Coturnix japonica: one gene and its partner. The protein of the gene in region 2 interacts with the protein of the main gene of each other region in a pairwise test. Links are inferred from orthologs where the notes say so. Each region holds a gene or a part of one and is shown on either strand. Other genes may lie near its edges. The genes, in order: NCOA6 and ESR2.

Region 1 (3,818 bases), on a different chromosome or scaffold from region 2:
CCCATCCAGAAAGATTGTTTTTGAGTGAGAGAGACTACATAACGAAACAGCTATAGTTAATCATCACAAGTCCCTTTGCAAAGATGCTGAGACAGTGGACAGATGTTTTTTTTCCAAATCTAGATATGCTGATTAAAGACATTGCTGTTCCAATGGCCTGTGTTACTAGTGAACTAGGGAAGCCTGTCCACAGAGTGGGTACACAGGGTCATGTGAGAATGCTCCATTCTCCCCTCTTCAGAAAAAATCTGGTAGATGAGGTCAGTGCAGCAGCTAAGTGGCAATAATGACTTGAACAGGCCCAGTTATTTTGGAGTGAATCTACTCTCAACTGCAGTGGTTTAAATCGGATGGTTTTGATATTAAAAAGAACATCCTGTTTGGACAAGTTTGGTTTCACTTTCATACAGAAGAACAATATGTAATTGAGAGAAATGGAAGAGAAGAAAAAAAAAAAACAAGTAAAACACTGGAACAAAACTGGAATGAATGTGAATGCACTAATTAGATCAGTTTTAAACAAAGAAGTAACTGCAGAAACTTGTACTTAGTGCCCCCGAGAAGAACAGGACCCAGATGCACTAAGAACAAGCCAGTCAACCATCCAGTTAACTAGAAAATGGCAATATATTTCTTTTTACAAGCATTCTGATTATGTCATTAATTATTTTAAGGACAGCTGAAAAACAAGGAAGTAAATTACCCATGTGTAGAAGGCCAGGTACATTCTCCAATATAACACTCAGTTTCTGTTCAAAGTCTCTATCCCCTATATCTCCTTTAAAAGCTACAAAGATTGTGGAATCTTCAGGAGCAACCTCCTGTTTCAGTTCGTCTTCCTCCAGTCCTGAATCCAAATCCACCTCTAAGTCTTCCATAGCCGAGGAGTACAAGGATGCACATGTATCTCCCACGTTTGGTAGGTCGTCCAAAACCATTGTGTCCAACAAAGAGAGCCAGTCAGACGTTCAGAAGATACTTTGGAGGAAAAAAATAAATTACAATGTGTAAAGACACAACCAACTGCACTCAACAACGTGCAAAGAACACTGAGAAGAAACCTACCGGGTGACCCTGTGCTAGGGCCTGCGAGACAAACAGCGCGACTCCGAGCAGTGCGGCCATCGCAGCAGCCGAGCTGTTTGTCCACCAGAACAAACAGAAGTTGGTGGTTTCTTGACAGAATCCTTCCACATGTGAGTGGAGCAGTATTCCAGCTGACCTAAATGATAGAGAAAAAGGGAAGGGTAAATAAAATCAATTACTCTCATCTCCACATCATACAGAGGACAAACAGGAATCTACAACAACCCTGCAACGCTTGGCTGCCAGGAAACTGAGAGGCACTCAGCAGCACTTTAATTGCAGGGAGGCTGGGGGGGGAACCACCAAACATAATTGTAGGGATTGCAGATGCTTCATACAACAAAGCAGTAGGAAAGCCACAGCACCAGAAGATATCCAGCACTTAATGAGAATTTTACTCATCCAGAGAGCTCCTAAGCACACAATGCTTGTTTTGTGAAAGTTTAGGTGCTCTCAGCTGCTTACGCACATTACAACTTGAAACACACTGCCTCAATGCTAGCCAACAATTTCCCCATCTTCTAGTGGAATTAAATAAATCAAGTCATGTCTGATACTTCTCGCTCCAAGAAAACACAATAAGCTGCAATTACATTAGGATGTTACCCATGCAGAGGTGCAATCCAAGACAGAAGAGCAGCATTTATTGAGATTCACACTCCTCCACTTTGCCTGCAGCCATGACAGGGCAGCAGGACCCCACAAGTCAGCCAGACCCACACAGTGGTCTCACACCCAACACTCAGCAAATATTTCTTATGCAATTCCAAGCATCCACATCAAGAGTCAATACAGAAAGGGACCGGTTCCTGCCCACCACCGTGATTAACAAATCAAACCAACAGGTGATGCTGCCAAGACCTCGTAAGTCCCAAGCTGTTGGCATTCAGCATGGCCCAACAGAAGCACTCAGTTCAGGATGCTCCAATGGGATGCAGACCAGCTTCTTGGCAGAGGTTCAAGTTCCCAACACAAATTAAAACCACAAGTTGGAGATTAAAGGTGAACTGCGGATAGCAGCTGGGAAAAAAAAAAAAAAAAAAAAGCCTTTCTTCATACAGAAAATAACCACGTTAGAAAGGCGTACACAGGAACAGCCACCTAGCCCAGCACACTCCACCCTGCTGTGGTATCAGGCCTCTGCTCCGGAACACTGCTCACGTTTGGGATTGCAAACACAGGTGGTTTTGTAATCCATGTTCTTTTGCAGTCTGCACTGAAAGTAAAAATACTTCCCATGTATTTCCACAGTGCTGTCATACGATTACATTCTCTTTTTGTTCTCTAGACTCTTTCATCCTCAGCTCTGCAGTGAAATCACAGCTCTGAGCACTCAGCAGCTGCACTGAGTCAAACTCCAGCTCCACATCACGTGTCCAGGTAACAAGGATACAACTGATAACCATCTGCAGAAAAGTTGGTTTAATTGATTTTCACATGCAAAAGAATGGTGAGTGTCCTTGGCAGGGCTGGGCTGCTTCCCCTAACCACAGGTCATGCTACATACATAATTCATTACACATACTCTGACTTCTGGAAGGAAGGAGCTTGGAGCCCAACATCAGCAATAGCCTTAGGGACAACCACACCGGGGACTGAATGAGCGCCCTGTGAAAACCAAGCTTCATCTTCTGAAAATAACAAAACAAATACCTATAAAACAGGTATAACATTATCAGGAACAGAAATATTGGATCAATACACAAGGTTTTAAATGTTCAAAATACGTACAAATACTCAGAGGGGGATGTTCTACATTCGCTGAGAAGCATGAATATTTCCTACAGCCCCAAAGACGAAGGAAACGACCTTTCCTCTGTAAATAAATAACATTGTGTTTTTATTTTGAATGTTAGTGCCCAAAGTACCTGTGGCAGCTTTAGAGTCTCCTCTCAAACATGCAGTATGGCCTGCTCCTGTGCTCATGTAGGATTTATACCAACCACGACAGGAGGAAGTGATGATTTGTGAAATGTTCCTCTTTGGGCAGAACGCGGCCTGTCTTCCATCCCCAAACCAAATGAATCCCAGCTGCATCCCTCTTGCTAACAAATTCTGTAATCCCCTGGTTATAAGGTTGACTGCCATAAATCAGAAGCCAGCCCACAAGCACAATTAACAAGGATCTTCATTCAACACTCCTCCCTTAGCCTTTCCAGCCCCTATTCTCCTTCTCCTCCCCCCCCAAAAAAAGAATAAAACCAAAACCCTTCGGGTCTAAGCACACACAGTAAAGCCCCGGTCCTGCAGCGATGCTGGTAACTTCATGTAGCTGCCAGCAGGCCAGTACTGCAGCCCTCATGAGCAAGAGTCACACTGGAATCAATGTGCAGAACTGCAGAACAGCCTGAGCTGTGGCTGCCACAGCAGGCAGCCTGGGCCTACAGCAGGAGCCCACAGCACAGATCCAGTGCCACATGATGGGACAGTGCTTAGCAATCCTAGTGGGATCCCAGAAGAGGGGATCAGAGCAGATCAGAGCCAGCCTGCAGCTGCTAGCAGGGGCAGCTGAGTGCTGGGAAATGTTGGCACCAGCCCTGCCAGGTGGAAGCAGGACAAAATGAGCTGTGCCTCGATAGTCATGTACTGAGACAAGCTCAAATGATTCAAACTTATGGTTATACCCTCCTGTTAAGCAGAGCTTGAAGCCTTTATGTCTCTTTCTTCCTATCCCACTTTCACTGTGCAAGTCAGGTAAAGCACAGCAAGGCTTTGTCCAGTAAGTGGAAAGG
Region 2 (3,818 bases):
AAATAGCCCGTTCCAGTCCACATACCTAGTACCTGAGGCAGATATGTGCTTCAGAACTGCCTCTTCTGACCCCAAAGGCAGATTACTCAAGTGGCCATCCTGAAGATTCCTGCAATCCACAAGTCTGAATCAGGCTTACATTTTATACCTTAGTGCTGGGCAAACAATATATAAAGCCCATCCATTGCAGAAGGAATGTGGGTAATATCAAAAATAAAAATTAATGAATATTTGAACCGCAGCTGTTACCAGATGTGCTGTTTTCCATATCATCAATGGCTGAAGTTGAATAAGGAACCATATCACAGAATCACAGAATGACCCGGGTTGGAAGGGACCTCAAGGATCATGTAGTTCCAACCCCCCTGCCTGGCAGGGCCACCAAACATACACCTTTACTAGATCAGGTTGCCCAGGGCCCCGTCCAACCTGGTCTTGAACACCTCCAAGGACAGGGCATCCATATGAAGAAACACACAGTGGGTAAAACAGGATTAGCCCCTGCAACACCCTTTGCCTTCATCCACAGAAAGCTGTTGTGAACAGGAATGGAACTGTTTTGTCAGCTGATGATGCACTCATTTCTCATGGCACGTAACACTGTGCAGCATGGGACAATGCTTTTGCAAATTCAGTTCTGAGAAATTCAGCCTGTGAATCTGCTGCTCACATTGCCTTAATGAATACAAACTGAAAATAAAATGTTTTAAGAAGTAATAACAAAAAGACATAAAGGAACTAAAGAAGCTGTGATTGACTGATAGGAAAGTTCTAATGAAGTGAGTGGTACTCACCTGGTGACGGGCAGCACTGGTTCCAGCGGTCTCGCTTCACACCACGGGCTCTTAGGCTGCTCTGCATACAGAAGCGATGACTGACAGTGCAGTGTCAGAGGGGAGAGGTGGCCAGGAGCAGACCATAACAGGCTTGGGCTCGATGTTTGTCTCACAGATGCACTCTCTGAATCACCAAAATTGCTGGCTATGTTGTAATTCATCATAGCAGGACTACAGAATGCCATTGCAGAATATTCATGCCTGTTTTCCACGTAAGATGAAGGGATGTAGACTGGACTGTGTTCTGTTGTCAATGCAGATTGATTACAGCTGTAGGGAACTGGAGAGCCAATACCAGCAGGTGAGTTTTTAATTTCTGTTTTATTGCATCCAATATCCTGAAGAGGCAGCAACTGAGAAAAGTCCTTGTGAGAAGACGCACAGAGGGACATTTTGATTCAAGACCGAAGGTTGTTTAAATATTCATTCTAAGATGTTAAGGTAGGGGGAAAAAAAAAACAACCATGAATTAGAAACTAAGGAAGCTCTATCTTAAGTCTTTTCTGTAAAAGAAATGGAGGAATTCACAAAACAGAAAGCACTGAAAACATTCTGTGAAAACAGATTACATAGCAAACGTACTTAAATAGACAACATTCAAGTTTGCTACCTTTATGAAGCAGAAAATTCTCTAGAACTTCCTTAAAAATAAAGGGGACAACACTTGTTGAATCCAAACTTCATTTAAAACACAAAAAATGTATAAATTGAAGCCGAAAACAAAAATGCACGTGACAGCCAGGATCCTAAGCAAAGCAATTCACTGCAACTAGGGTAAAGCTGCTCTGTGTCAGTGGCGAGTAATTGAGGAATGAGTGTCCTGAGAAATCAATTATCTTCACCACCTCCTTCTCCCACTGCAAGTGCACTATTGAAGTATCAGCCTTCCTTCATCAACATGAGTGTGTAACTGATGTTTAGAACACAGACAGACAGAGACTTTACCTTTCAAAATCATAACCCCGCTGCACATCCCTCTCCAGTGAGGAGAAAGATGAGATGGACATCAGTAAGGAACTCTATCACTGAAAAGTACTCGGATACAGCACCTCTGAACAGAGCCATTATAAAAGTAGATGTTATGAAATGCAGATGTCACAAAGTGCAGGTATTTCTGAGCTGGCAAAGAGGAATTCAAGCAAATCCGTAAGGTCAGGAAGTTCTATATTTTCCTGGCATACTGAGCTGCCTTCACTGCTACTCTCCATCCTTCATTCCATCTGAACCAGCAATCACAGGACCTTAATATACCCACAGAAACACCATCTGCCAGATCTAGGCATACCAAATTACTTAAGGTAAATGAAAGGGGAAAAAAAAGAATAAAAAAGGAAAAGAAGAAAGAAATCACCAAAACACCTTCTAAGATGTAAACCCCATCCTGGAACCATCAGTTTTACAGCAGCATTTAAGAGTATTTAAATTTCATTCTTCATTGTGGGCTTTGCTTGTAATTCATTCAAGTTCCATTTCCCAGAAGCGATACTCCAGCATACTTTACTTTTACAGGTGGCAATAAGAGATCGACATGAAAAACCCTGGAGTAAAGAAGTCACCCACAGTTTTGCTATACCAAAAGCAACCAAAGTATGGATGCTAAATATTCTTACCTTTTTTCACCTCACACAACAATAAAATAAAATGGTAAAGATCCAAACGTACGTTTCCTGAAGAACCAGCTACCTCCATGTCCCAGAAATTCTCAGCTAGATGGTATTTCTAGTATGCCATCTTGGTGTACTGACATTTTTCCCACCTAGAGACAGGACTGATGGTAGAATCACCATCAAAAAAAAACCATGAGAAAATCTGTCTGAATAAAATAGTTTAGGGCTCTTCTCACTTTGCACTCTGCTGATGAAAGTGAAGATATATGGGTAAGTAACGAGGAACTCATTCAAATCATCTTAGGCACTTCAGACCCAGCTGCTGTTTATTCCTTTGTGGGAAACAGGAAAATGAATTATCTCAGCAGTGGTTTACATCCAGCCGTTGTTGCACTGGAACTCTGATGCAGCCAAAGCAGGAGAATGTGACCTCATTTTTCATACAGTCTACATGCCTTATGTGCCCTTGCCAGATGCTTCACATTTTCCCCTAAGAGCGCAAAAAGCACTGAAAATCCCACATGTTCTCTTGCTTGCATTTCATGGACAGCCCAAATAATTTTCAGGCAGCAAATGATGGAACTGAAAAATAAGGTTGTTTTCAGCAGTGGTTGCTTTCATAGTGAACACTATGAATTTGCCTGTAGAATTCAAAATGCATGTAGGTAAAGCAAAGCACCACTTGGGATCTCAGAGGTGTGCACAGACACTCCATATGAGCACCTGAATGTTGTCAGCCCTGCCCAGCAAGAGCTGACTGCACTGCTCCCCTTCAAAGGGTGCACAGCGCAGTGTAACCCCAAACCCTTACACTTCATCAGACTTCAGTATAACAACTAAACAACAGTAATGGCTTAAGATAATTAACTTGAGTGGCAGAAAATGCTTAGCCATGGTAGGTTATGGATGTACATGGAATCACATTCTTCGTATATCCTTATACTCAGGAGATTCAGAACAGAAAGCCCAAAGCCTCAGAAATAAAACAAAGCTGCAGAAAACATTCAGAACTGCACAGAAAAGTCCCTAGAATAACTGATGGTCTGTGGAGCTGTACTTCTTGAGGAAGAACTGCAGGTTCAGGTAACCAGAGCTTAAGATTCAAGTCTACAGAAGACAAACTCCGCTAACATCAGTACCTCAGAAGGAATCACTGCCACATTTAAGCTGAGGATCGCAATAAGAAGTTGCTACAGAATCATAAGTTTGTCCCATTTCAGTATGATGCCCTGCTATCATAAACACTACTAGAATTAACTACTCCATGAACCAAACTCCTGTCCCAACTTTTCTTCCTTCTCTGCATAAAGGTCTTTTAAGGTAATTTAGATCTAATCTTTCAGCAGTGCACCAGATCTGTACCAGGCCCAGAAAC

Evidence for each region.
Region 1: the proteins of ESR2 (region 2) and NCOA6 interact in a two-hybrid assay, tested with the Homo sapiens proteins (3 studies listed by BioGRID). The link is inferred for Coturnix japonica from reciprocal best matches to the Homo sapiens genes ESR2 and NCOA6.

Annotation. Positions count from the first base shown.
Region 1 is NC_029535.1:424,804-428,621, reverse strand, and holds part of NCOA6 (nuclear receptor coactivator 6), read right to left. Parts: intron 2,718-3,818; exon of another isoform or gene 2,612-2,717; intron 1,223-2,611; 5' UTR 1,066-1,222; intron 979-1,065; 5' UTR 939-978; coding exon 704-938; intron 1-703. UniProt on the Homo sapiens protein: Nuclear receptor coactivator that directly binds nuclear receptors and stimulates the transcriptional activities in a hormone-dependent fashion. Coactivates expression in an agonist- and AF2-dependent manner.
Region 2 is NC_029520.1:48,211,253-48,215,070, reverse strand, and holds part of ESR2 (estrogen receptor beta), read right to left. Parts: intron 2,605-3,818; exon of another isoform or gene 2,447-2,604; intron 1,265-2,446; 5' UTR 1,229-1,264; coding exon 795-1,228; intron 110-794; coding exon 26-109; intron 1-25.